4 linked regions of the Alligator mississippiensis genome follow. The protein of the gene in region 2 interacts with the protein of the main gene of each other region in a pairwise test. Links are inferred from orthologs where the notes say so. Each region holds a gene or a part of one and is shown on either strand. Other genes may lie near its edges.

Evidence for each region.
Region 1: the proteins of CHD3 (region 2) and SERBP1 interact in binary tests that used the Homo sapiens proteins (3 or more experiments, as listed by UniProt). The link is inferred for Alligator mississippiensis from reciprocal best matches to the Homo sapiens genes CHD3 and SERBP1.
Region 3: the proteins of CHD3 (region 2) and YAE1 interact in a two-hybrid assay, tested with the Homo sapiens proteins (2 studies listed by BioGRID and IntAct). The link is inferred for Alligator mississippiensis from reciprocal best matches to the Homo sapiens genes CHD3 and YAE1.
Region 4: the proteins of CHD3 (region 2) and SIRT6 interact in a two-hybrid assay, tested with the Homo sapiens proteins (2 studies listed by BioGRID and IntAct). The link is inferred for Alligator mississippiensis from reciprocal best matches to the Homo sapiens genes CHD3 and SIRT6.

The regions. Positions count from the first base shown.
Region 1 is NC_081828.1:18,225,828-18,232,983, forward strand, and holds the start of SERBP1 (SERPINE1 mRNA-binding protein 1), read right to left. Parts: upstream 3,110-7,156; 5' UTR 3,008-3,109; coding exon 2,617-3,007; intron 1-2,616. UniProt on the Homo sapiens protein: Ribosome-binding protein that promotes ribosome hibernation, a process during which ribosomes are stabilized in an inactive state and preserved from proteasomal degradation.
Region 2 is NC_081838.1:24,914,203-24,921,578, reverse strand, and holds the start of CHD3 (chromodomain-helicase-DNA-binding protein 3), read right to left. Parts: upstream 3,072-7,376; 5' UTR 2,746-3,071; coding exon 2,520-2,745; intron 1-2,519.
Region 3 is NC_081828.1:124,882,359-124,889,779, reverse strand, and holds the start of YAE1 (protein YAE1 homolog), read left to right. Parts: upstream 1-4,335; 5' UTR 4,336-4,476; exon of another isoform or gene 4,477-4,692; intron 4,693-4,772; exon of another isoform or gene 4,773-4,836; intron 4,837-4,937; 5' UTR 4,938-4,951; coding exon 4,952-5,068; intron 5,069-7,421. UniProt on the Homo sapiens protein: The complex LTO1:YAE1 functions as a target specific adapter that probably recruits apo-ABCE1 to the cytosolic iron-sulfur protein assembly (CIA) complex machinery. May be required for biogenesis of the large ribosomal subunit and initiation of translation.
Region 4 is NC_081839.1:5,435,919-5,443,366, reverse strand, and holds the start of SIRT6 (NAD-dependent protein deacylase sirtuin-6), read right to left. Parts: upstream 3,077-7,448; 5' UTR 3,025-3,076; coding exon 2,959-3,024; intron 1,813-2,958; coding exon 1,685-1,812; intron 1-1,684. UniProt on the Homo sapiens protein: NAD-dependent protein deacetylase, deacylase and mono-ADP-ribosyltransferase that plays an essential role in DNA damage repair, telomere maintenance, metabolic homeostasis, inflammation, tumorigenesis and aging.

The sequences.
Region 1 (7,156 bases), on a different chromosome or scaffold from region 2:
TCCTGGTCACGTTAAAAAAACCAAGAAAACAAAACAAAAAAATCCCCAAAAACAGCAGGTGCAGAAGAAGCCTAGGTTCTGTTAATTTTTCTGTATAAGTAAATTGCTCTAATGCCCAATCAAACTACATAATAAATTCTAGATCAAATCAGCAGGACAGCCTTAATATCTGAGGAGAAAAAAATATCTTTCAAGCACCTACACTGAACACCTTCAAGAGAAAATTGGATGCTTATCTTGCTGGGATCCTATGACCCCAGCTGACTTCCTGCCCTTCGGTCGAGGTGCTGGACTCGATGATCTTCTGAGGTTTCTTCCAGCCCTAGTCTATGAAATCTGGCTTTGAAAATAGTAACTTTTCTCTGAGAATAGCTACCATAATTATTTTGCAGGATTCTGTTTACACTTCAAGTACTGGGAATTTAACTATACTCTGTGTCCTCTTATTAAAAGAACACTGTGATATTTTATATCTTTCCCCAACTGAGCAAACCCCTATCAAGCAAGCAACATATGTGGGTGGGGTTATAGCCACTGCATTTGTAATGATCTCCATCATGTCAAACACCCAAATGAACAATGGCTTCCCTGCTCTAGAAACACTATCCAACATTAGTTTAAATAAATAAATAAATAAAGCTTCTTGTTAAATAATCTGCATGAAATGGATTTACTTTGTAAAGTAGTACTAACTCAGACTTGAAATGAACCCAGATCTCGTGTCCCAGGCCAGTACCTTACAAAAAAATCCTTATTTGTTGCCTTATCAACTACATTCATATCTAGGTTATATATTATAAAAGTATGCAGAGCTCACCAACTGAAAAGCTGCCATTCTTTTGACTAACACGTGGGCAATTTAGAAAATTTCATGACTGGTGAGTCGACACATTTGTATTCATGAATCAAACTTATAAAATAATGTTTATCCATCCATTTTGTCCTTGCACTAGGGGGAACAATAATGAAAAAAACCAAACCAAAAAAAAAAAAAAGCAGGGGGGGATCACATAAAATTAAAACTGAATTCTCAACTACTACATCTCAACAAATCTGAAACCATCTTTATGTATTCTAGCAAACAGACCTGCCCTTTTCTGATGTCTTCAATTGCAGCAAAAAGGCTCAAGTTACTAGTCATTTTGGAGGCACAAGAAAGTTGAAATAAAGAAAACAGAGCTTTTTCAACATGGGAGTTGTCCAAATAAACATCTCAAAGTTTACAATGTCAACCAGGGGTCAACACAAGTACAATCGGTGTGGCAGCAGTCTGTCTTCCCTCCTCATAAATTTTCCCCCACCACTTAATAACTATCAATCATGTTTTGTACCATTTATTCCACTTTTAAGAACACCAAAGCTCTGAACTGGTCTTAAGCCCCCAGCTCTGAAGTAGAGAATACCCACATGATAATAAATTATGCTCCCTTTCTGTTTCTCAGTTTTGCCTAACACAAAATGTTTTCCTTAATATTTTCCTGGATAAAATGTTTTGAAGTGACAGGTTTTATTAGAACTGTTCACCTTTTTTCAAGCAACAGAAAAGGTCCGGAGGATCATTTTCCAACATGATGTATTGAAGGGAAGTGGAATATGAATGTCATGCTTTATATCAATTCTACTTTTCTACTCTAAAGATTTTTGAAGAGGCTTCTTCATCTCAGCTACATTGCAATCACCTTGCTTCCTTCTCCAAATATCATGGCACTTTCAAGACACTAAAGCAGCATTTACAGTAAATGTTCCAAAATGTGTCCACAACCCTGAAAATACCTAAACATATGCAAAAGGGCAGTCCCATTGTCTGCTACGAAACAAGGCCCATGCACAAGATTTAGCATGTGCTCACACAGTGCTGCACCATTAGTTTGGATATGAAAAGTAACTCATTTAATTTTGCTCCATTTTATTCCCTTCGCTTGTTCCTATAAGAAGTTACGCTCCCCCACCCGCCCATTAAACGGTTGCGTGCAACGTCAGCGAACGATGCTTATACACGTGCGACGTCAGGGAACGATGCATCTGAAGAACGCAAAGTTATTAACATTCATCCCATTCAAAGGAACCTCAAGCCAGGCCACAAGCCAGTTTCTACAACCCTCAACCAATTGGGGGGGGGGGGGGGGGGGGGGGGGAACCTGTTAAAAAAAAAAAACAAAAAACAAAAAAAAACGAACAACCCACCAACCAAATCCCCCACAAAAACCCCACCCCTCCCCCAACAAGGCAGCTTCAATCCCGGGCTGTTAATCCCCACAACCCCTTGAGCGGACTCCAGGCCTCGTTTCTTGGCAGCTCTTTCCCAGCGAGGATTTCCCCATCCCCAGGCTGTTCGCATGAGCGGGCTCGGGCTCCACCACAGCAACAGCGGTAGCAGCGGACAAGGCATGAAGAGACCGACTCCATTTTGCGGCACCTGCAAGGAGGCGGCGGCAGGGCCCGCACGTGGCCCGGGAGCCACCGGCTGCACTCGGGCAGCTCCCAGGCACCCGACCCCGGCCCAGCAGCCGGGGCTCCCGCCAGGCCAGTCCTCCCCCCCGCGGGAAGCCGCCGCCCCATCGCCGCGCTGCAGGCCCGAGGCCGCACGTGGGTGGGCCCCGGCGCCTCCTCGCTCACCTTCCTTGCGCAGCGGCGCGGCGGGCTGGGCGCTGCCCTCGTCCCGGCGCTCGGCGGCGCCCCCGGGCGCGGAGGCGAAGGGCGGCAGCGGGTTCTTGCGCTCCTTCTGCGACTCCCTGCGCAGCTGCTTGGCCGCGCTGCCCGGGCCGCCGCCGGCCCCCGCCTGCCCCGCGCCGCCGCCGCCGGCCCCGCCCGACGAGTTGGCCGGCGCCCCCGGGCCGCTGCGGGCCCCGCCGCCGCCGCCGCCCCCCTGGCTGCTGCCGCCGCCGCTCTCTTTCCGGCGGGTCTCGGCCGCCTGCAGCACCTCGAAGGGGTCGGACTCGTCGTCAAAGAGCTGGTCGAAGCGGTTGGTGACGACGCAGCCGAACCCTTCCTGCAGGTGTCCGGGCATGATGGGCCCTTGTCGGCGGGATGCTCCTCCGATGCTGCCCAGGCCCCGGACCCCTGCCCGCGACCGCACAAGATGGCCGACCCTGAAGAGACCCGCTTCTTTTCCGGCGCCGGGAACATCCGGGGCCCGGCGCCCGCCCGCGCGGGGCACGACGGGAGCGGCAGGCGGCCCGCGCCGCTGGCAGCCCGTGCGCGGGGCGGGGCTGGACTACGCTTCCCGGCGGCCACCGCGCCGTCGTTGTGCAGGGGGCTGGCCAGGCCGCGCCTGCGCACTGGCTCCGGGCCCCTTTGCTCGCCCGCCCCGGGAGTTGAGCCACGTGCGGCCGCCCTTGGGGACGCCTAAGAGTGGCGGTGTCGCGCAGGCTCCAGCCTGCAGCTGTGGGGTGGGGAAGCATTAAAGGACTAAAATACGGAAAGGAGGGAGCGGAATGTGCAATGAAACCGGATAAGCGTCTTTGCAATCTGCGACATGTTTCTCTGCAAGGGACGGAGGCAGCCCCTATCCAGACCCTAACCCCAGGCCAGCAAGACATAGCGCCCCAACCCGCCACCGCTCAAGCAGGGGAACCGCAGCTCACGCTGGCAACAAGTGAGAGTCGACCAAGTGAGAGGGGAGTGGCCGCTTGCTTTGTACCTCTCGTCACTTAAAAAAGTCCATATCCTCATCTACTTTTAGATAGGCATGCAGAGAGATGCAGCTGATTTCAGGAGTCTTCCTGAAAAATAAAAATACTTTTGAAAAATAAAAGTTCCCCTAGTGTCCTTAAGGACACACAGTACTACTTAAAAAAAAGCCACAAAACCATTTGGCATTTGTAGGATTTAGTTAAGGGATTAGTCAGACTGGCCACTGCATATTTACAAATTTTAGGGAAATATATTATCATCTGCATAGGAAGCCATTCTAACTTGCATAAACTTAGGTAGCATTTAAGAATATGGAGTAAAAGCAAGCAGCACAGATCTGTGATTAGACCAACATGCATTTTTATATGTTGATATGTTCAGATCAGTTTTACTATACATTGACCCTTGTATTTCTGCCTGAAACCACTTAAGGTACTTTCTAGTCAGTGTAGAAACTCAAATTTAGTTTTTTTGTTCTTTGTTTGGTTTTTTTTTTCCCCCAAATAAGGTTTCTCTTTGTTGTAAGGCTGAAAGTACTGTGAAACAAGGGATCAGGTGTCTTGTGGTTATCAAATTTTTTAGCCCAAACCTTTTAAAATAAAAAGTCTCCTTTTCTCTCGCATGCAAATACATATGAATCCAATAGTGGCACAGTAGCCATTTTCAGGGTGTTTTCATATTTAGGGGATAGGGTTTGGGGTGGGGGATGACAATCTTGAGCTACAGATTACTGTTAACTGCTGCTTGATTTAGAGACTCAAAAGGGTTCTTACACAATTATGATAAAAATCGAGTGAGAATCCTAGAAGTAATGCAGGTAAAACAGGAAGGGCCAACTCCACGTGAAGTATTGGCTTGAACATTTGAAATCTTATTTAATAATTAGGGAGTAAACATGGTCAGATGAAAGTGCTGAAGAAGGATGTTCCCAGAGATGGAAAGGTGCATCTATGCTGTGCTAGATACAAGGTCATTAAAAAACTACATCTATATGCTGTCTCTGACAGCATAAAACACACCATTTATGGGATAACCTGCCCTGTACAAGTCTCCCTCTGGTCTCTAATTTAAATTAGAGACTAGTTTAAGCAGTAATGCACAAGGTTTAGTGGTCCTTCCAAAAGTTTTACAGCAATTCTGACAGGCTGGGTGTTCATTAACAACTAGAGATAGCCAATCCATTTTTAGTACTAAATTCTTGGCTCTATTAATGTCTTGGGGCAATACCTTTCATAGATTAACCAAGTTGTGTGAGAAACTATTTGTTGGTTCCAAATTTCCCACCCTTAGATTTAACTCAATGTCCTACTGTTCTTGAGACAGGGAAAGGACCTTCGTACTAGAGATGTACAAATCTCTTTCAAAAGCAGTAGCAGATGAAAAGATAAGGGCACCATGTCCATCACCCTTCAAAGCAATTATGTAACTCCACATCAGGATTTCAGGAAGTGATCCAAGTTAAATGACCAAAATGAGTTACCATCTGCTTGGGTCCTCCGTCTGTCAAATATATGGGTGATCTCATTCTGTGACCTGGGGAATGGCTATCGATATCAGCCACAAGCACTCACTATAACTGGTTGAATTGAAATCCTAAGAACAACTGATGATAAAGACATGGAGGCTGAGTTCTTGGTTATGGGAAGGGATTTGTTTAGATCAGGGTGGTCAAAATGATGGATCTGACCAGTACCAGACTCCATGTCCCAGCAGCCCCTGCCTGCATTGCTGTGGCCAGTTTCCAAGGAGATGCCAGCAGCAGTGGGACCTCAGGGCCAGGGTTTCCATGGAGACTGGCTGCAGCAACACTGGCAGGGCACACAGCTGGCAAGGAGCTACTATGAGGCCAGGGCTGGGATCTTGCAGCAGTGACAGCATGGTCCGGAGCCAGGGCAGAGCCATGATCCACAGCCTGCACATCCCTGCCCCAGGTATGGGGGCAGCAGATCGCAGTTCCGCCCTGGCTCCAGACCATGCCATCACCAGCGCAAGATCCCAATCCCAGAGCAGCTCCCCACCCAGCTGCATGCCCTGCCAGTGCTGCTGGGGCTGGTCTCCATGGAAAGAAACCCTGGCCTCACTGCTGCTGGGGTCTCCATGGAAACTGGCCGCAGCAACACAGGCAGGGGCTGTAGGGAAATGAAGGCCACTACAGGCCTGATATGGCCTGCAGGCCAGGCTTTACCTGCCCCTGATTTAGATAGAGAGATTCTCCAGTCAATTACCTTTGGTCGTAGTTTTTCGTAGCGCACAGCCAATAAGAAAAGTTTCTGGGCACTTCTTATATAAATCTTCAGGATACAGCACTGTTGTAGAGCCACTTAAACTGCTGCCTTGGCTCACAAGTGTGGTTCTCTTCAACCCCGCTTTGCAATACTGAAGTTCATAGCTCCAGAACTGCTCTCTGGTGTACTCACACCATCTATAAATAAAGATATTAAAAAGATTATAAAATTGCCTTGTTCCCACTAGGATTGTCACACACGTTTTCCAAACATAGATGTGAACAAGTCAATTTAAAATTATACCCCAAGTGTTGTGGAGTAGGCCTTAGACAAGACTCGTTAAAATAAAATATCTTCTTAGAAGTAAATTCAGAGAATATTGTGATCATTCACTAATTCTGTTTAAGAGGAGAGAAAGGCTTCTGGAGGTTGTACACTTTAAATTTTGGGGCCTTTTTTTTGTCCCCCTGCCCTCCCCCCAACTGGGTTACATTCATATTTTAGGTACATTCTACAGATCTACTGACCCAACACTGACATTGCCCAACATAGATGAATGAAGTGTGGTTTAAACTCAAAACATTAATTCAATTCTATAGAAAAAGGACAAAAAACATGAATCCATAAATTCTATAATTCACCATTTTCAGCACCTGCAAATTTCCCACTAATTCTGACCATAAAAAATATTGCAATATCTAAATTAGAATGTTGACACATGCCTAAAATGTCACCTTGTTTGACTGCGGTTGCTTAAAAAAAATAAAAAAATAAAAAAAATTTAAAAAGCAAAGGGAAAGTCCTTGCACAACATGTTGTGGGGATAGGCATCTTACCTTTCAATAACAGAACAGAACAGTTTTGGTAATATAGGAGCACTAGTTGGTTTCTAACCTAAATTCAGGAAACTTCACTCACCAAGCGTCCTGTTTAACTTAGTAACTTTTACTTAATTTTAGACCACGTCAAGTACAGCGTAGCAGAAGTGACTTGGATGTTTACAGGCCAGCGATCATCACTCCCCAACTCCTCCTCAGTATTGCAACTTAAGGTTGCTTAACATTTCCCTGGGGCAATGTGGCCACTGGAAGTTCAAGTCCACATCGTTACCCTATCCATTTCTTCTTGCTGTCTGCTCTGGCAGTCCAGAGCTGGAATATTCAAAGATAAATTTAAATAAGGTGCTTTGGCTAGTTGCCCAGCAGACAAGTCAATAGTCCGCTGGAGAAAAATTATCAGGAGGCAAAATTATGAGTAGAAGAGGATTGGACATTGCCAGGTTTCTTGATAGTCGTTTC
Region 2 (7,376 bases):
GTCTCTAGGGACGTTTGATCCTACGCCACTCTTGCCTGAGCCAGCCTGCTGCGGCCCAGTAATTAAACTGAGGCTTGTTCTCGAATCAAGAACAGAGTAACTTTGGAATCTTCAATGTAATGCTTCATGGCGGGAGATTATAAAGGCACCAAGAGCTGGGGCTGATGCTAAAACCCACCGTGTTTAACCATGAATGAAACAGCGAGCGAGCGAGAAGTCGAGGACCCCGTGGGCAATCCTGTGATGGAAGACAGTGGGTGCGAGGCGGGGGGGGATGAGCGTGCACAGCTCCAAGCAATGGGGCTTGATCCAGAAGGGAAAATGGCGGCATTTGATACACACACGCCTCCACCGCCCCCCCTTCCCAACACTTCACATCTTCCCCCAGGCTCCGTGATTTGCAGAGAGCAAATCAAAGCCAGCTCCGCTGGGGGAAGCTGCGCGTTCAAAACCAACAACAAAGGCTCCCGGCTATATCGGTCTGGGGTTTCAAGCACCCCAGGGCTCAGAGGCCGAGGCAACATGTCCCAGGCAACTGGTGTGCGGGTTCGCCTGTCCCGCCACCTGAAGCTTTTTCCCATAAGGCACCGGCTTCCCCGCCTTTGCTCTGATCACGGCTGACAAGGCCTGTCCCTAGAGACAAGCTCGGCAGCTGATGTGGCCCTGACCCCGGGCTGCCCGATTCCCCCTGTCCTCAAGTCACCCTTCCCGCCCACCAGGCCTGACCCCGGCTGCTCCCGGTGGGCAGATCTGCCAGGGCACCTTTTGCTGATGGAGCTTCAGCCCTGCAGGGGACCCCCGTATCCCGCCAGCCCCATCGAGCTGGGTGCTGAGAGATCCCTGTGCCCACAAAAATCATGAGGGCGAGGGCTGATCCCCAGGCGGAGAACCAGATGCCACCTGTGCGGCGCCCTCCGTTTGGCCAAGGCCCAGCAGCCACTGAGCATGGTGACCCCGAGTGATCTCAGCCCTGTCCAACCTGGCAGACACCCTCCCGGCCTCGGGCTCCCCACAGGGCCCCAACCTGCCTGCCAAGAGCCCGGCCTGCTGCCAAGTACCCACGGGCCGCATCCAGTCGCACATCCTCCCGCCCACCCGGCCTGCACCATCGCCAGCACCATCCTGCTTAAACGCACAGGCCTGTTTGGCACAACGGGCACCCTCTACTCCTGCCAACCCACCCCCTGTGGGGCCAGAGGGTGTCAAGTGCCCCCCACTGCTGCCAACTGACTGCATCCTGACCCCAGGCCCCACTCCGCAGACCACCAAGCACACTAAGGATGGCTCCCCCCATCAAAGTGACCCTCCTCCTGAAGTGACCAGACCCCCCCCCCCATCTTTGAGGCAGGGGAAGAAGAGGGGGCATGCAAACAGAGGGGCACTCAGCACTTCAGCAGTGTGGGGCCTACCGTGTGGGGGGAGGGGGCACCTGGCTAAAGTGATGGGGGGGAAAGGGGGATGGGGGTCTGCCCCCCACTGCTGCTGCCTAAGGAGACAATTCCCTGGGGGGGGCTTGTTTACCAACCCCTAGGGTGGAGACACAAGGGGGATCCCCCTCCACAATCTCCTGGGGGGAGCTAGACACTCTCAGGCCCCAACCCAGGGTGGAGAAGGAACCGAGGGTGAGGAACCCCCCCCCATGAAACCCTCAAGGGGGGGCTAGAAACTCTCCTAAGCCCCACCCCTCCCCCACCCACAACAGTCCAATATGGGGGGGTAGAAACTCCTTCCACCTTCAATGACCCAATGGGGGGGGCTAGAGATTCCCCCCACCCTCAAGGGCCCAATATGAGAAGGGTGCTAGAAACTCCCACCACCCAACATAGAGGAGGGGGGGCTAGAAACTCCAGCCACCTTCAATGGCCCTATATGGCGGCGGAGGCAGAAACTCCCACCACCCAATATAAAGGGGGGTTAGAAACTCCAGCCCCTCTCAATGGCCCAATATAGAGGGGGGAGCAGAACCTTGCATCACTGTCAATGTCCCAATATGGGGGGAGGGGGGCTAGAAACTCCCACCACCCAATACAGAGGGGGGCTTGGAAACTCTTGTCACCTTCAACTGCCCAATATGGGGGGGGGTGTTAAAACTCCCATCACCCATTATACAGGGGGGTTCAGAAATTCCTGCCACCCTCAACGGCCCAATATGCGGGGGGGGGGCTAAAAACTCCCAGCACCCAATATAGACCGGGGGGGGGGGGGCTACGAACTCCCACTACTCTCAACAGCCCAATATGAGGGGGGGCTAAAAACTCCCACCACCCACTATGGGGGGGTGTTTACAAACTCCCGCCACCTTCAACGGCCCAACTGGGGGGGGGGCAGAAACTCCCCGGCCGCGGACGCTGCTGGGGGGAGGGGCGGCCGGGCCGGGCCCCTCGCGGTGGCGGAGCCGTTGGGGCGGGGGGGGGGGGGCGCGTGGAACCCTCGGGCCGCCACGTTCCAAAGCCGTTGGTTGTTTACAAACAGGGGCCGGGGGGGCGCCCCGCTCGGGGGGGAGGCGGGGGGCTGTTTACCTGCGGGCGCCTCAGTGGCCGCGGCGGCGGGCGGAGTGGATGCTGCTGGGGCTGGCGCCAGGGGCATGGGCCCCGCCTGGGCGGCGGGCAGGAATATGTCGCCGGGGCTGTTGTCCCCTGCTCCTTCTTCCTCCTCCTCTTCCTCCTCTTCGTCTTCATCCCCCTCCGCCTCAGACACCACCATCTCCTCCTCCTCTTCCTCGTCCTCCCTCAGAGGGGAAGCCATGGTGGTGCGGGGGGGGGCGGGGAGGGGGAGAGGGAAGGGGGAGCCCCCCCTCACCACGCACGAACCCTCTCCCCCCTCACAACACCGAAAACACAGCACGGGGGAAAAGTCCCATGAAGAAAAGGGTTAAAAAAAGGGGGGGGCGAGGAGAGGAAAAAAAAAAGGAGAAAAAAACTCCACTCAACTCCCCCCCCCCCCCCCCCCGTGGAAAAAAAATAAATAAGGGGGTGGGGGTAAAAATATATATATATATATCTCTATCAAAGCTGAGGGGGCCGCTCAGAATAATATTTTCCACAAGAGCAAGGAGCAAAAATGGCCGCCCTTCAATTATTTTTAAAACAGGCCCCCCCAGGAGGTAAAAAAGGAAAAAAAAAATCCCCCCCCCTTTCCACCCCTTTTCTTTATTTTTTTTTTTAAAGAAAACAAGATGGCTGGCTTCTTTAAAAAAAAAAAAGTTCCCCCCCCCTCCCGACACACACACCTCTTCCTTGAGGTTAAAAAAACAAAAAACAAAAAAAAAAACCCAAGAAAGATTTTTAAAAAGAGTAGGAAAAAAAAGCCTCAACAAAAAAAATCAGGCACCAATAACCACCCCCCCCAAAAAAAATCTGCGCTCCCCCCCTTTTTCCCCCTTCCCTCTCAATATATATATAAATATAGATAGCTCTTTCTTTCTTTCTCTCTCTCTGTTTTGTTTTGGTTTCTTTTAATCTCTCGCAAAGATCTCAGATCATTGCATAGATGAACAATATTTGTATATTCCTGGCACTGGGGGAACTGAAAGAGAAAGATTTCTGCATAAAACAAAGATGGCTGCTCTAAATTATTTCTTTTTTTTTCTTATACTCCCCCCCCCCAACCTCCCTCAATAAAAATATTTTTTACCCGGGTGGGGGGGAGAGAAAAGGCTGGATTAATCAGTACTCATGCTCAGTATGACATCAGCATAAATTGTTAAAGGTTAACTAGTTCCATACTAGTAACACCATGATTTTTTTTTTTTTTTTTTTGCTTCCTCTTTACTAGTCTACGCGAGAGTGGGGGGAAAGGGGCTTTTTTTCCCCCTTCCCTTTCTTACTTCTAAATACTTCAGAAGGGAGTGGCTTTTTCTTTCTTTCTTTAGCCTGTCTGGCAATGAAAAAAACCCCAAAAAACAACCTTGCAATTCATTTAAGTGTAGGGTCCAAATTCGTTTAAGGGCATTGTTAGGAAGTATTTAACTGTTTTCCTTGATGTTATTTTTTTTTGGTGGGGGGAGGGGGGGAGCTCATGTCAGGTATTTTTATTTTCCAGCACTTTTATTTTCCTTCTGCTAAAAAAAAGCACCATCCTTTCTGTTTCTTTCTAAATACCTTCCCCATCTTACCTCCCCCCCCCGCCCAGCTACACACGCGCGCACACTAAAAATTGGGGACTACAAATATTTCAGTGTCTTCCTTATTTTATTTTTCTCTTGAACTATTTTACTGAAGTGTTTCACTGGTATCAAGTGCTGCAAAGTGCTTTTTGCATCCCCCCTCCCCAAGAAAACAAATAGAAAGTGGGGTGCATCCAAAAAACAAACAAACCAGGACACGATATTCTGGAGGGCTCTGATCCTGTGACGGCCTCTGGACAGTTGTGAGGACCTGCTGACCTTGCTAGACCAAGCAAGCAAAAGGCATGTCAAAAACCACAAGCAGGTCCCTAGGGCCTGATCCACTGGGTCTGCTCACATGAGCAAGGGGACACATGCACGTGTTAAATAAGGAGTCTGGGCGAGGGGAACTGCCAGTAGATTGGGGGAATTCCAGACTTCTACGTTTTCGGCATGGTTGGGCTTCCGCTGCATACCAAATCCTCGCCCTCCCTAGGTAAGCACGTGAAGAACGCCATCCCCCGTAGCTGTTACTTTCCAACCTCCCTCCTCCAGGCCTCCAACACGAGAGCAGCCAGGACCCCCTTCCTTAAAGAAATGAAGGACACCATCTCTCATTTTAATCTCTTGTTCTTTTTGGTAGCTGTATCCTGCTTTGCAGGACGAGCCTCCAGAATGTCATCCACCGCCCACCACTTCCGTGTGAGCAGACTCGACAGCAAGGTCAGGGCCTGAGTGAGGATTCCTACCAGTTGCTTAATGGGTTTTGTTTAGGCACAGTCTTTCCAGGCCCCTGGATTGAGAGATGGTAGTTTTATCGTTTCTAGAACTGGCGGGTCGGTGGGTGAAAAAGTGCAGATCAGGGTATGCAACTGTGCCTGCTTGACTAGTGGTCCATCCCCGGATGGTGTGAAGCATGCAGGAGATGTGATGTCCCTCGAACCTTCCATTGTGCAAATCCGCCGCTCCCCCAACATGTCAGTGGTGATCTGTGGTCCCAAATTTCTCCCCTTTCTGTTTCCCCAGATCAGCTGGGATGATTATTAGCTTTGTGCCCCTGCCCCATTAACATTTCTGTGTGTGGCCTGCTGGTCTGAGATACAAAAATCCTTTGCTGTTGAAGGCCAGGAAGGATGGATCGAGTCTTTTGCTGCCTGCGGAAATGCATCAAATCTTTTCCGGATACCAGGCTTTCAATTTCCAGACCTGTAAGACAGCCCCAGCACGTTCCACAAAGAGAAAAGAGGGCCATGGACTATCTTTCCCGCTAAACAAATTGTGGGAACCCCTAACCAGGTCCAAACCCAGGTCATCTTGCAAAGAGAGAACATCCAACCTTTTGGAGAAGCCTCACTGGAACCAACAGACTTTTGCCTCACCTTACAGCTGGAGCCATCATTAACAGGAAGGATTTAGCAAAGAGTGGTGTGTTTATATGTTTAATTATGGCATTAAATCTCATGGGGCTGAGATTTTCTGTGGGAGCACCTGGACTCTTCCCCCTCACATGCCTCTGATCTGCACACACATCCCTGGAAACGCGGCGTCTGCTGCTTCCTTCTCGGCAATCTTCCCCCTGTAGGATAGTCATAAATACCCGCGTAGGATATGCCCATCGCCTGCAGGGACTCGCAGCTTGCCAACCAAATGGTTCCCTCTGTGCCTTTTATATTTAATTCAACACCCCTCCGGCCCCCCAGGAGCCTGGGCGTCGAGCCTATTCATTCATGTCAAAACAGTTCCCCGGTGCTGCTGGAAGCCAACAATTGGGGAGGAATTTGGAGGCCAGAGGGAACCTGAGTTGGTTTTCATTTTTCTCTCCTTCTTTCAAAGGCAATTTCCAAGGTTTTTTTGGAGTTTTTTTTCTTCCCTCTCTCTGTGGCTGCTTGGATCTTCAGCTGGTTTTGTCATCTGCTGAGCTGCCTGGGGGGGGAACAGGGAGATCCAACAGGACAAAGCGCTAACCTGCCTCTTCAGCTGCTCATTGAGTTGCGGTCGGGGGGGAGCAGGTCATGCCATTGCACATGATAGGCCCCGATACATGTTGAGAGCAAGGCGCGCATTTCCTGCCAACAAGTGAGACTCAGCTTAAACTTGACCCTGGCTGTTTGTGGCTTGGTCTAGATCCCTCAGGGAGCAGCAAGGGTTTTTCTTCTCTCTTCCTTTTTTCCTCAATCTGTCTCTCACTGTCTTTGATGCTTCTTTGTAGCTCATCAAGTGTCAGGGATTGCACTGCAGACCCATACAGAATGACACTAATAGGGGAGCTGTCGTGTTTATCTGAAGGGCTTCACCCACCGCCGTTCGGCTGACAAGAGGGTCAAAGATTGGCTCCGAGTGCCGCCTGCCCTCCCCCCACCAGGGGAACTGCCTGTTTGCTTCCAAGGCAATTGCTGGCAGTTCTTCCCTGCTGATTTCCTACTGCACGCCTTACTCTCCTCTCTAATAAGGGAAGGCTGCGTGGCAGCTTTCAGGAACAGGGCAGGCATGCCAAGGCCAAGGCTTCCAGGACCTTGGAAGCAAACAGGAGTTCCAGCATCAACTTCCCCCAGGCCAGGATATCACCCTGCTTAATCTTGCCTATAGCTGTGCGGCTGAGGCGCTGGGTGGAGTCCCAGAAACAGCCTCTGATACAGATTCCCTCTCAGTCTTGCCACTCAATCTCTCCGCGGGGTGCTAACATCCTTGCTTGGGTCTCCCCTTCCAGTTTAAATCTAAAATCTCTTCTGGGCAGGAACTGACGCTTCTCTACATGCAGCCAAACAGGGCAAAGATTTCTGACAGGGCCAAGGCACACCCTTTTTTTTTTTAGCAGCTGGGGTCCCATCGAAGTGTTTCTGATATAGCATGGTATTGCCTGGGCTGCACAAATACAGCTCCTTTTGGGCTTGGAGCTGGGCCAGCTGGTTACACGGCCCATGAACTGGACCCGTATATTTCAGAGGGTTTTTATAAGGCCAACAAAAATAGCACGTTCCCCTCTTCCACCGATTCAAGCTCCACTCTGACTGGGATTTCCCAGCCTGGGGCTGAGACATGCGGTTGCCATACATTTCATCCGCATCCCGCTTCTCCTGCTAACAGCTTACCAGTTGGCATCCTCCAAGAATGCTCCTTGCTGTAACGAGTTGACCTGGGTGAAGCTGTATCGATTTGCGGCCACTGAAGATTGAACCTGAGAGCTGTTGGAGGCACAGAAAGGATGATTAACTGGTTTCCCCACCGGCTAGCCCAGAGCGGTTCCCTCTGGGAATGCATAGAATGAGCCTTG
Region 3 (7,421 bases), on a different chromosome or scaffold from region 2:
AGTAAAAAGCTTTTCTTAGTGGCTGCCTTGGCCCTGCTTCTGACAGCTGAGTTTGGTGATGTTAGGCTGGTAGCTGGTTGTTAAACACAAACATGTATCCAAATGGTCAGTCATCAGATGGTTTCTCATAGGACCGAGTATGGTTTTCATTTGTGAAAACACGTGTTCACACCGATAAGTAGATCCAAAGACAGACAGCAAGGCAAAAGCTACTTATTTATTCATGCATACTTTTCAGGAAGGGAAGACCAACATAATGTAGTCTTGAGTTACCATTCCCTTTCATTCTCAAATTTACCTTGCAGTGATGTGAACTTCAGTGCCCAGATGCATGAGCTTTGAAAGTCAAGGAGTACCAATTTAAATCCTTCAGTGTTCATCCACTGAAAGTACCGCAGTTCAATATCACTTTCCCTAGTACTGTCCAGGTTCACAAGAAATGAAAATATGAGTCCTCTGTTGCAAAAGTCTTGGAAACATCTGGTGTACACATCTTCCAGCTGTCCTATGTAGTTGCACATATTCCTATTATTCAATTGATGCTGCTCGGAATGGATTTTCAGACTGGGGTAGTAACAGAAGGCAGACGTTTCGATATCTCATCTGAAAACAGACATCTTATCACAGAAAGCTTTCCAGTCGTCAGACAGCTGAAGGATGGTTTTCTGTGTTCCTTGTAACCTAGTATTCAAATAATCTAAATGTGATGTGATGTCTGTCAAAAACATCAGTTTTGTTAGCCACCTGTCATCAGTAAGGTCTGCATATTGCTGACCACTTTTTTCAAGAAATAACTAGGTGGATTCGAGACAAGCAACAAATCGCTTGAGCATGTTACCTCGACTCAACCAGTGTACATTACTGTGCAGCACTAAATCTCCATATGCAGAATCCACATCATTTAAAAGTTCACGGAATCCCCTGTGTGTCAAAGAGGAGCGGGCAATCAAAAAGCTGACATTTTCACACCACTGTCATGATTTCATTTAAATCAGAAGATGAAATCTTAGCGCACAGGCTCTCCTGATGAATAATACAATGGAAACTTATAAGAGGATGTCCAATCTAAGTTTCCAGAAGCTTTACAAATCCAACTGCTTTACCCACCATAGCAGGTGCACCATCAGTGGTAACAGAGAACACTTTGTGCAGGTCAGTTTGTTGCAGTGTGAAAATAACTTTGACAACATTAAGTATAACATTGGTCTTTGTTGTGCTTTGCATAGCATGCAAAGAAAACAATTCCTCCCAACTTCCCCAGAGACAAAATATCAAACAATTATAGCAAGATGCCGGATATCGTTTATAGACATAAACTTTCACCCAGTGCAAGGCTCATCGCATCACAAGCATGGAGGTCTCGAGTCACTTGTTCCCTAACATTAGTTGCCATTTCATCTATTTTAGCCTTTGAACAGTCCTGGATGACAGCGGCATTTCACCAGTATGAGCAATGATGTCTTATTGGCAAAATCCTCAGCACGTTTTAAGAAAGAATCCTTTAAGTTGTCTCCATCTGTAAAACACTTGCCTTTCCAAACTTTGTTTTTTTACTATCCATAGTTATATATTGATATGCCTTCTACCTGTAAAATTTCCTGAAGTTCACACAAACCGAAGGCAGCACAAACAATTTAAACAGGCAAACAGAAAGGAGAAAATCAGAAAGAACTGAATTATTTGAAGTACATGTAAATCTGGGTAAGTATTTCCAAGAAGGCAATCGAAGTGCAGAAAACACACACACACAAATGAGCAATATGTAGTGTTTAAATCAAGGAACGCAAAGCAGAGAGATCAAGATAAACAGAATACAAACAGTTTTAATAAAGTAAAAACCTGAAAAATATGAACTGGTTTAAGAGAATGAAAAACTGAATAAGAAATTATTTTCAGAGCAAAATAAACTGATTCATGTGAAGTGGCTTGAGAGAGAGCAAAAGCTGTATATAAGTCCATTTAACAGAGCAAAATAAGCTGATTCATGTGCAGAGAGAGCAAAAGCTGAATATGAATCAAAATAACAGAGCAAAATAAACTGATTCATGTGAACTGACTTGAGAGAGCAGAAACTGAATATGAATCCATTTAACAGAGCAAAATAAAGCTGATTCGTGTGCAGAGAGAGCAAAAGCTGAATATGAATCCGTTGAATAGAACAAAACAAACTAAACAGTACAAACTGGCTTGAGCGAGAGCAAAAACTAAGTCTGCAATAATTTAACAAAGCAAAATAAAATGGCATAATATGCAATCTTAAACTCTGTTTGCAGAATTGTTTTTTGTAAAAATATATGTCTATATGTATATGAGGTTATACATATCTATACTCCGAGTATCACTCCACAAAGAAAACCTTAACCCGTTACAAAAACCACACACATACAAAGGACCGTTGGCCACCTGGACCTATTACAATATCTGCCTTGCACGCTACACACACACATATACACAAACTGGTCTCTCAGACCAGGCAACCCCTTCCTTTCATCCCCACAGAAATCAGCACTAGTAGCAACAGGCTACTGAGTGAACTGCCGCCCAGAGCCACGTGCCTACCTCATATAACTGGAGGCTGGGTGCAGCTGGGGGCAGGGTCCCTGCACCCCCTAGCAAGTAACTTCATGCCACTCTCTTCTTTTTTTCTAAATAAACATCTCTCTCACAAGGCTGTTGTATATTGCCAATTAGTTTGAATAGTAAACTGAACATGTAAAGCGTTAAGTGTTGTTAAATGCTGATTCGTAAGGATGTTGTTTCATGAAGGTGATAAAACACTGGTGAGAGACAATGGCCACCTTTTACCCCTTTTTTTTAAAGCATAACATACTGTTGACATCAATGACAGATCATACTCCTAGCAACCAATATATAATAATTTAGCTATTTTGCCTGTCTCTAATCAACCTACTGTAGCATAAACAAGCAGATGTGAAGTATGCTACCACTGTTTCCTGATCTCACTGTCTCTGATTCTGGTAAGATGCTATCAACACCACCAGCTTTGTGACTCGTTCTTATGACAATCCAAAACTTTTCCTGGAATCTCTCTTTTCTACTTGGCAAGAATTGCATACATCTAGCCAAATTAGAAAGCTAATTTCTGAAAAACCGAATGCTTCTTTAGGCTTGCGCTTTTACAGTGCTTGTAAAATACTTGATTTGGGAGTTGTAATTCTTCCCACAAGTAACTTCCTTTCTTGTCACCTTCCTTACAGGAAGGCTACAGAGATGGAGTTGAGGCTGGAAAAGAATGTGCACTCCAGCAGGGCTTCAATCAGGGATACAGAGAAGGGGCCAAGATGATGAGGACCTGTGGCCAGTTCAAAGGAATTCTAAAGTAAGTTTTGAGACCATGATCTCTTTTTGAAATTCTAGCTGTACTATTATTCCAGTGCTAAGTGGTTTGGCACTTGGGTCAGTGAAAGACCCAAGTGCCAAACTCTCTCAGGTTGTGCTTAAAAGTTGGGCAGCACAACCTGAGAGAAATCTAGACTTCTGTGCTAGGCACCTAGGTGCTCCCTATACAATGCATGTAGAGACGTTGGCATCTCAGTATGTGATCCAAAACGGCCAGCATGCTCCAGCTGTCTAGAGGTAGCAAAGAAGAGACACTGAAGACAGGGAGAAAATCTAAAATCCCACCTTTTGGGGTTAGGTCAGAACTGCACGGAGGCTGCTATTCACTCGGGATCCATAGCGGGTAGACTTTCCTAAAAAAACCTGCCTACAGCCACTGCCTCTCTTACAAGCGGGGTGCTCACTGCTCGGGGCGGACGAGTGTCTGTCCCGCCTCCTCCCAGCTGTCCTGAGGGCACGTCACATCCGCCCCCTTCTGCCCCGCCTCTGAGTCTCCCGGCCCGGGGCGGGTGCGGAGAGCACAGACGGGGACAAGGGACCCGCCGGGTCGTGGTAGACGGCGCGTCCAGGCGGAGGGCGGCGCAGGAGCCGCGCGATGCTGCCCCAGCCCCTCCCCCCGAGGCGCGCATGCAGCTGCCTCAGGCCCGGGGCTCTGAAGACAGCGCCCCCGTTCGCAGCCTGCCCAGCAAGCTGCAGGCAGGGACGCCTTCTCCCGAGCCAGGCCGGGGTTCAACAGCCACTCCAGCACTTGTCCCGCCCTCTCTCCCAGGCCCCGCCCTGCGCGGCGCTACATGCGGGAGGGTGCCTGCTTCCCCCTGGGGGCGGGGCTGGACTGGGAGATGCCGCCCTCCCCGTGCGGCTGGGCCCAGCCCACTCCCGGCCCCGCCCGCGGAAGAGGCGGGGCCGCGAGCGCCTGAGCCGTCCCCACGTGAGTGCTAAGGCGCGCGCGCACCTCGGAGCAGGGGGCGGGGCCGGAGGCATAGGCCCCGCCCCCTTTGCGTGCTGTTTCCGACGGCCCGGGAAGAGGGGCGGGGTTTGAGCGCGGCCCCCTCCTTCCTGAAGGACCCAGCGAGCCGCCGGGCCCCGCTTGATACCACCGCCAGGAAACTGCTTGGGGTAAAACTCCTCGTTAGGAGCCGAGCACCCAGTCCCGCCGCTATTCAGTTAAATATAACTGTCCAGCACCGTGAAGTCAATCGGTCTACTTATTGCACACAAAGTTAAGGACACCAGTCTTGGCAGGATTAGAGCTTGAGGTTGTGTTTTGGTCCCCAAAACGGGCACAAATAGTATTGAGGACTCGGGTGTTGTTTCAGAGGAGCTGGAGACGGGGTAAGTGCTGGCAAAAGCCAACAAATTGAGATGCACAACGTAGTTTTCTTTGACACAATCTGCCTTGCTTCCTTTGACAGACATTGCCTGGCATCTTGATGCAATGTGAAAGTAAACCTGAAATTGGGATTACTGGTTTCTGAGGTTAGCTTTCCTCAAAAACCTGCCCTTCCTGCCTGGGGTTCTGACTTAGTGCTGGGGTGGAAGCTCTGTTTGGCATCTGACTGTACCTGTGGTGTTCCTAGGAGCTCCTGCTACCATGTCCTGGGTACAAGCTGCAGTCAGCAGGCCCAGAGAGGATGTATTCGATGAAGATGCTGATGAGATGCACCTCGTACAAAAAGAGTGGAAGAGCACCATGGAGAAAAGGATCAAGGTAATCTTTATCACCGTCATGATGTTTTCAGTAGCCTTTTAGCCGTTTTCTTTCCTACTGCTTAAATAATGCTTGTTTAAATAAGCAAAAGTGAGAATGGCTGCTTACAAATTAGGCCTGTGCGAAGCAGCAGGTATTCGATTCGGATTCAGCCAATTCAGAGGGACGGTGATTCGAGTTGCTGTCCTGATTCAATTCGGCCGAATTGGATCCAAAGATTGGGCGACAATTCAGAGATTCAACCGTAGACTAAACAGGCAGCAGTCCTCGACCATGCTGGCCACAGCTGCTTCCAGCTGATAAGTCCGTTGTGGTGGGCAGAGGTGGGAAAGAAGGGGCAGGGTGGGGGGCATGTAGATCAGTGCCCCCACAGCAAGGTGGGGATTGGGGTTGGGGCTGGGACTGGAGCTGGGGCTGGGACAAGCTGCCCAGTCGGGGCAGGGGAAGTGCAGGATGTGGGAGTGGCAGCACTTGGAGCAGGAGCTATGCCCTGCTGCTGTTTGCCCAGCCGGGGGGTGGGGGGCATGATGGAGGTGCGGCTCACTCTGGGCAGAAGGCACTGGGAGCAGGGGCTCTGCCTTGCCGCCGCTAGTCCAGCCAGGGGGGCGTGCAATGCAGGTGCAGCTTGCTCCAGGCAGAAGGCACTGGGAGTGGGGGCTATGCCCTCCTGCTGCTCGCCCAGCCGGGGCGGGGAGGCACAGGACCATGCCACTGCACTGCCTCGGACAAGTAGTGTGCAGTGGCAGAAGCTGTTGCAGCCTCCGTGTGCCACCTGGACAAGCCGCAGCTTCACCCCGCCATGCCTCGGCTGGGCAAGCAGCAACAGTGCATTGGGGTGGGCGAGTGGACCCGGATTGAGGAGGGGCCAGCGGCAGGGGCTGTGGGGAATTTTAGGGTTGCTGCAGCCCCCCCCATAGCCCCTACTTCTCTGCGCTCTGTGGGGTGGGCGGAGCCAGGGCTGCACTCTGGACTGAGGCTGGGGCTAGGTGCCAGGAGCACCGCCCAGGCCCTACCTACCCCACAGAGTGCAGCCTGGCAGCAGACAGCTGGAGCTAGCCTCCTGGAGCGCAGCCCGGCCCAGCCTACCCCACGCAGATCCAGGGGCACACGCCCGCTCCCATGCCCTCCCAGACCAATGGTGTCCAGTGGCAGGAGACTCCCGCCCCCTTACCCTGGCTGGACAGCTTGTCCCAGCCCCAATCTCTCCCTCGCTGTGGGGGCGTTGATATGCCCCCCACCCCATGCTCCTTTCCTCCCCCCTCTGCCCATCACAACAGACTTACCAGCTGGAAGCAGCTGTGTCCAGTGTGGTAGAGGACTGCTGCCTGTTTACTCTCCGAATTGGCGCTGGATTGAATCAGAGGCTTCCGATTCAATTTGGACCTTTTAATGGTGTCCTGATTCAATTTGGAGATTTGGCCGCCAAATCAGGCCAGATCTCCTCCGAATCAAATTGGCTACCGCAGTTTCGCACAGCCTTAGTAAAGATCATGATGGTTCAGTTTCTTCTGAGTGACTTGAAAACTGAACAGAATTAATGAAATGATGCCAAGTGGAACATATTTGAGATTCTTTTATTAAGAGACTGTCTGAGTATTCCTGAAAATCCAAAAATTTATAACCACAATCCTGAATGCTTAACTCTACCCCAGATTAAATATTCATACACATTCACTATTCAGTTACAGTTTATAATGATGGACTCTTGCTGCATAATTGTACGTAAATCTATTCCTTCAAATACTCATGGGCTTTCTGCTTACAAATTCCAGTGCATCAACAGACACACACACATGCTTAGTGGCAAAAATATGCAAAATCAGTCATGTGATCATTCACCTTTTTGATAGGGAACACCGTCATAGCAGAATTGTTGCTAAATATCTGCTGCATTCTGTCTTTAAAAAGGTGGGAACCGAGAGGTGTGGTGGGCTTGAAAAGTCTTCTAACCTCGATTTGTAGCTTTGCCACTGACCTTCTTTGTGGCCTTGGGCAAGTAACTTAATCTCACTCTCTCATCTACTTTTATAAAATAATAGACATCTCTCTCACAGGGGTTGTGTATAATGACAATTTATATAGTAAACTGAAAATGTAAAAGGTTAAGTGTTGTAAAATGCTGATTCATAAAGAAGTTGTTTCATGAAGGTGTTAGACACTGGTAATTGAGAGACAAGGCCCACCCTTTACTATTTTTTTTTAAGCATAACATGCTGTTGACATCAATGACAGGTCATACCCGTAGCAACCAATATATAATAATTTAGCTATTTTGCCTGTCTCTAATCAATCTACTGTAGCATAAACAAGCAGATGTGAAGTATGCTACCACTGTTTCCTGATCTCACTGTCT
Region 4 (7,448 bases), on a different chromosome or scaffold from region 2:
ACTGCAAAGCCATAGCTTGCGGTTTGGGAAACAGGCTGCCAGGAGCAGTGGAGCAAGCTAGAAGAAGCCACTGTAACGTTTACCTCCTAGGACCTGGCTTAAGCAATCTCTGGGTTCAGCCTGGACAGCAGCACAGGCCCCTGCCTAGGGAGCAGCGCACCACGTGGCAGCTTTGATGCGGGATAAGACTGGTGGGACCCAGCTGATCCCGCTGCAGGCTAGATAACATCACAAGGAAGTTTTTCCCATGCTTTGCAGGACACAGAAATGGTGCGTCCACTTCTTTCCCTGAGACGCCAGCCCATACACTGAGCCTCTGTGACCAAGACCTTCCCTATGTCCTGCCCACACTGTTTTTTCTTCATTTTCATCCCATTGCTTTTAATTACATCCCCTTAAAACATCCCCTCCCCTGCGTGCTTTCACACCAAGGGAACACCTGCTCTTGCCTGGGCTGTGATACACCCTTGGGCAACTTCAGTGTCCTTCATAGTTGAGCATGGATTATTGCTGTCAGAGCAGAGCCCTGCGGGCCAGGGGAACCACCGGGCAGGGAGGTTCTGGGTACTGCCGCATCACCAGGGAGCGGGTGTATCTAGAGGAAACTGCACGGCATCAGTTTATACACACAATCCCCTCTCTGGAGGGATGAGATGCATGGGTCTGGCTGTAGCCACAGCCCTCAGCAGCGAAGGGAACCAGCAGGGAGCAGCCACAATGGGAAACTCAACTATGGCAAAATACCAGGCTTAATCCCCCAAGAAATCGCCCCAGTGGGCACCACAGACCCAACCCCTGTTCACAAGCTTCCCAGGCCGGTCTCCAAAGGCATGGTGTCACCTGCTGTTTAAAAGAACAGACCAGCCCAGAGATACAGAAGCTGCTCAGTATTAGGAGACAGCCTCAAACGTAACTACCTAGCTTCACAGTCTCTCTGGGCTCCCCCGCTACCCAGCACACACCAAACAACTGTACTGAGTGGTGAACGCTGGGATACGGTTTTACTACTGCAGAACCGGCACCAGAGAAATGTCCCATGGACTTCAACGCACGATCACAGCCCATTTGGGCCATGAAGTAGCAAACCCGAGACCAAACTACAGCTAGGAGTTCATAGAAGGAAAGCAACCTTTTCACATCCCAACATCCCACAGCCACAGAGAAGCGTTTTGGAAAAAAAAAAAAAAAATCAGAAAAACAACAGCTATAATTAATGAGGAAACAGGACATCTTCCCTACAGCACTTAACCCACTGAGTCACTAAGCCAGGGCTGGCAATGCTGCCAGGATTAAATCACTTTTCATTAGCAAACACCATCAGTGTGATCACTCCAGGCACCTTCCATCACACCCCCACCTCCTCATAGCCCCCTTCCTCCGCAAATCTTAAGGCATTTTCTAAACTTTTGCAAAATACCTGTGCCTGCTTCTCTCCCAGAGACCTGAGCAACAATACTGCAACCCCAAAGCCTACGCCAACCACGCAGTTCCTCCAGTACAAGATATCACCCACATGAATTCTTGCCTGTGCACTACAGAGATTTTATAGATGGTGAAACCGAAGTACAGAAATATAAATCAATTTTTATAGCCGCATAGCAACCAGGAGAAAGCTAATGCTCAGCATGCCACGTTACCCATAATCCCACTCTGCTTCAACAACACAGGATCTTTCTTCCTTCACCTGAAGTCGGGGATCCCTACGGCTGTGCTGATCCCAGCCCCAGTGTGAAACACCACGTTGGAAGAACTCCTTATCAGGTCGGCCAGCTCATGCACTTTCCTCTCCAGCTCCTCCGGAGGATCAAAGATCTGATGGAAAGAAATGGAGACAGAAATAAGTTTCCCACATGGCCCCAAGCGCAGGAAGAGACGGAGAACAAGATTACATTGCTGCTGATAGCTAAAGTGCATCAGCACTTAACAGGGTAGAAAGAGCATTATCTTAGAGAGGACACTTCTCCCCGCTCAGGACATCCAGATCTTCCTTTCCAATCTGCTTCAGAGAGGCAAGGAGCTGCTCTGGATTTCAGCAAGTAATTAACTGGCTGAGAAATACTTTGCCCTCTCACTGCTGCTCTCTTCAAAGCAGGTAACAATAGATACCCTCCCTCCTTGCCTCCGTTTTACAGGTGGGAAAACTGAGACTTTACTAAGTGACATGACTTGGCCACAGCAGAACCCGAAAAAGATCTCGGGGCCCCTGAGGCCCAGCCCTGCCCCTCTCAGGCAGCTAATAAATGCCGCCGGCCTGCAGGAAGGATGGCGCGAGACACAGGCCAAGCCTCCAGACCAAAGCCCAATGCTCGCTGCCCGCGGGCGACGCTGCCGAGCAACACGTCCAAGGCAACGTTAGTCTCCATGGGGCTGGACGGACACCAGCCGTTCCCTGGGGTGACAGGCCCTGCTCCACCGAAGGGGACAGACGTCGCGGTGCAGACCCCCTGCCCGCCGGGCTGACAACCTGATGGCACGTGGCCGCTGGTCCCCAACCCACGCCTGCCATGTTGCGTGTGGGGGACACACACACCCCAGCTACAGGTGAGCGCCGGCCCCTGCCCAGGCAGGAAGCAGAGCCCAGGCCTCCCCAATTCCTGGGGCAAGGAGCGCTCTGCAGCGCCCGGGCCGGGGGCACCCCCGCGGCAGGCTGGGCTAGCGGGGCTTGCACCCTGGCACCCCACTGCCCCCCCGGCGCCTGCCAGAGTGGGGGCGCGGGGAGCACAGGTGCCTTGTCCCCTGGGCAGGGGATGGAGGGGGCCAAACCCCAGGAGGGGGTGATGGGGAGCGGGACTAGACCCAAGGGGGCGGGGCCAGAGCCCAGAAGGTGGGGTGGGGGCGGGGCCAGGCCCTAGGATGGGGGGGAAGGGCGGTGGGGGAGGGGAGGGGATGGGGCAGCAGCCCCCCCCAGGGGCTGAAGGTGGGGGAGGGGCGAGGGGTGCTGCACCGCCGGCCACTCACCTCGGGGAGGCCGCACTTGCCCTTGTCCGAGTAGGGGGACAGCCCGGCCGCGTAATTCACCGACATGGCCCCGCAGCCGCCGCCCGCCTCCGCGCCGCTGTCAATAAAGTTCTCATTGTTGTCAATTCCTGCCGGCCGGGCGGAAGCGCGCCGGGCGTCGCGAAGCCGCCGTGCCTCACTCCGCATGCGCACGAGCCCCGGGCGGTGGTGGCGGTGCCGCCATGTTGGTTCCTGGCAGAAAGGTCTCTGCCCGTCCTTGGCAGAGCTGGGGCAGGCGCCTGGACCTGGCAGGGGGAGAGATGTGCCTGGCTCTGGGGGAGGACAGCGGGTCCTCCTTGCAGCAGCACTGCAGGACCTGCTGCTCTGACAGGGGATCCCCCCCATCCCTGGACTCCAGGAGCTGGCGCTTAAAGAAATACCACGTATCCCACAGTTGTCAGGGAGCAGAGCCAGGCTGCCTAAGGGGCGCAGCAGGTGCCCTGTAGCTTCTCCAGGCCTGTTGATTGTGAAAGTTGGGAGCCCCGTTAGAAAGGGAGAGCGCAACAGCTGACCGCTTGGGACGACTGAAAAGAAAACAGGGAAGGGAGCGCGGTCACGGGTGCAAAACAAGGGATCCAAGGGGACACGGAGCAGAGCGCGCCCACTAGCGCCCGCTGCCCCCTGAATGAGTCGGGGGAGCCTGCGGGCACCCGCCAGTGACACTGCCTGGAGAAGTGAGAGGACAGCCCCACATCACCAGGCTCCCTGAGCCTGAGCCTCTGTCCTGGTCTGGCAGATGGCCAGCTTGGCCGGAGGCTGACTGGGAGGTCCTGGGACTTGGTGGGGCCACGGATGGGCTGCGGTGCCTGGTGCTTTCCTGCTTGGGGAACACCCTATGTGCAGCCTCACCTGTCCTAAAGTGGAAGCCCTGCGATGCCTAAGCAGGGGGCAAGGACAAAGCCGACCCAATGGTACCTTTCAGTACTGGATTTTGCAAGCCATTTCCAGCACTCCTCAGCAGGCCTCCTGCCACTGCGAAGTCTAGGCTTGTGCATTGTTCTTTCTCTCCCTTCATAGTCTTTGCAAGATATTTTACAGTCCACTGTTTGGCTGGGAGCATGTCTACTTGCTCAAATACTCTGTGCCCAGCCTGCTATAGATGCTAGAGAAAAAAAATCCATTAATTAGCAAGCACAGGTCCTGATCTGCTGAGCTCCGGGTGGGTTAAAGGTTCCAGTCATCTCGGCACAGAAAAGAGGATTGTGCGATCCCTGGACCTGGTGCTCAATGTGCCTGGTTTTCCCACCTCAGTTCCTGACCAACCAAGTGACCTTGAGGCAGTCGCTTCCCATGTCTGTGACTCTCTGTTCCTATCTGTAATGTGGAAAAAAACAATACCTACCTCCCAGGGATTGTGGGAGGGTCCCTCAGCTCTAGCAAAGCCTTAGAGAAAAGAAAAGGAATCACGGGGCAACATCTTGTCATGTTTGCACGCTGAAGATCAAGGGAAACCTTTAGCTCTACAAACCAAGTCCCCAGGCTGCTCCATGGGGGATGTCCCTGCGAGGTGTGGAGCCTGTTGCAGGATCAGGGCCTAGAGGCCATCCATGAACAGGACCCTCCATTCCCTTGCTTGTTGCTGCTGCTTTCCAGGTTCTTTAACGGTATGGTATGCATGGAGAATAATTACCCTGGCTTCCCAGAGCTAGTGGGGAGCCTGAGGGGTATGGAGGGCCTGATGATGAGAAGTGCTCTGCACCTGTGACATCTGGGCTACTCAGGACTATGGAGATGCTCAGAGATGGAGACACAGCTCCAGAGTAATGTAGTGCCCTGGACACCGTGCAGCGCTGAGCTGCAGCCCGCTGTAGCAAGGTAATCGTACCTGTAGCAGGTAAGTAACCCAATTCCCAGTGCAGCGATGTCCCTCCCCTGGTTTCTCCTCATTCGCAGTGACACAGCCTCACCCGGGCTGGGCCACCTCTGATACGGTGAGCTCCCATCAATCAAGACAGAAGTAAGGAGACTCTTCAGAGTTTGTTCTGCCCTTGGCACTGAACGTGTAACAGAGGAGTGAGAACCTGCCCGAGCTGCACCTGACGGTATCAACAAGGTAGGGATGGGGCTTGGAGGGAAGATGCGAGACTGGCCCAAAGTCCGGTAGCCCTGGAGCTGCAGGTTTCACACATCTGCGATCAGGACTGAGGGACTCTTGCTGCAGCTGAACAAGTCAGGGCTAATATATGAAGTCATTCATTGCTCTGTACAAGTGCAGGGACTCCCAGGGGCTCTGACATCCTGGGAGACTGCTCCAGAGCCAATGCAAACACCTAGATTGGCAAGGAGGCAGGTCCCTAGGCAAAAGTAATGGCCCTGACAGCTGACAGCAATGCCAACGGGCTGGGTTCCTGTCCGGTGCTAGCATGGTACAGCACGGCATAGAGGGCTGTGCAGCAGGGCAGGGCTGGGGGGGGGTTAGACGAGAGGATGGAGGATGAGCACTCCTGGTTTCTGTCTCTTTGCCATGGGGGACCCTTAATTTGCCTGTGCCTCAGGCCCTGGGGAGCCCACACTGAAGTCATGTGGAGGCATATGCCTCCTCGGGAGACCCAGCCCTCCGGCGTTCTCAAGCAGCGGGGCAGGAAGAGCCTGCGGGTGGAGAAGGGGTGCATGCATTTGAAATAAACAGCTGCCCAAAAGACTGGTACCTTTGGGGGGGCTGTCGAGCTACCTTGAGGCTGGAGGGTGGGGGCATGGAGGCCTGCTGGCAGCAAACACAAGGCTACAGGGCTAGACCGGGGGGGGGCCAATACTCCTCAAAGGGGTCCAGGGAGGAATTTTGCCCAGAGGCACGAGGTGACAAGGGAGCAGCCCCCCACACACCCATCCAGCCTCCGCCTCTTCCTCGGGGCGTTGTGGACACGAGGGTCAGGAATTCGTGGGCAGGGAGGTCTTGGGCGTTGGATGGGGTCTGCAGAGGTGGAGGCTGCAGAAGTAAGGCCAACCAGACTGCCAGCCTCTCCCCTTCCCACAGAGGCACAGGCAGGAAGCGCCCTGTCTCGGGACTCTGCGCTCTCTCCCGGGCACATGAGCACACCCAATAGCCAGGGCAAATGCCACAGACTCCACCTGGCCCCTCCATCTATATTCCAGTTGTGGCATCACCAGCCTCTAGCACCCCTGTTGTGGTGGGGGCTGTGTTAGCACAGGCACAGAGAGGAGGTCTCCTCCCTCCATGGCTGGGACACGCCTGGGCACCAAGGTGAGCTCCCAGGTGCTGAGGAGGTGCTGGTCAGAGACCGGCAGCTTGGAGGGACCTTTAACATGAGTTATCCTGCAGGGTCAGGGCCAAAATGAAGAGTCAGCCAAAATTTTTGCCTGGGGCTGAGTGTCCTGTCTGTACCTACAGAGCCTTGAGCCCCTACAGTGCCCATCGTCCATGCCCTGCAGCCGGCTGGTGGAGGGCCGTGGTCTGATGCCACATGTAATGCCATTCCAGTCCTCTCCCCTCTCGAACATGGTGAGCACCCCGAATCAGGACCCTCAGGGCAGGAGGCACAGGAAGATATTGAGACTGATTGTGAGACTGCCGATGAAGGGCCAGAGTTTTGCTAGGATCTTACAGCTGCTTTGTATCCCCCGTTTAGATCTACCCCCTGCAGCCCAGAGCACGGGGACAAAGCCACCATGAAGAGCCTGCGGGCCAGGTTTAAGAAGAGTGAAGTGAGTATCTGAGGGCGGTCGGTCGGGGGCACCATGATGAACCCATGAACCAGTGCTCGGCTGCTGGAGTGGGTGTTTTTTTCCACTGACAAGTGAGAGAGAGGTCCCGAGTGCTTGTGCTCATTTAAAATCCCATGGTGCCTGTTCCAAGTACGGGAACTGCTCCTCCAACACCCCCTCTCCTCCCCTCCCACAGGCAGATAATGCAATGGCTAGCCCCTAACACTTCCCCCTCCATCCCCTATGAGTCACTGGGAGATTCCTGCACGCCATCAGCTGGGAAGGGCTTGAAGGAGGAAACCCCCCCCGAAACGTTTCCAGGGTGGGGGAGTTGTAATGAAGTTTGACTACTCCAGGCATCGGCAGCTGGTTCGTCTTGCAGTCGCCAGGCTCCATAGCAGCCTCGGCAATCCCTTGTCTTCTGCCTTTAGGCCACTGCCCCTTCCTGTCACCTTGGGGTGCATGTACCTGTTACCGCTCTGGCTGCTCCAAGCATTCCTCCCTCAAGTTCCTCCCTCGCTTCTCTCTCCTGGAAGATCCTCTCCCATCTCCCTGCCTCTGTGAAGCAGCAGACCCTCCTGGCCCCTTCCCCAGCAGGCAGAGCAGGGCTTTCTGGGGAGAGGCTGCTGAGATGTCACGGCGCTCAACCCATCCAAGCCAGCAGGTCCTGCTTTGTCCCCACAGACATCAAGCACTGCAGTGTTAGCGCAATAGACTGTCCCCAGTCCTGGCACTGACCTGCTGAGTGATCTCAGGCCTGTCACCTCCTTGCTCTGTGCCTCAGTTTC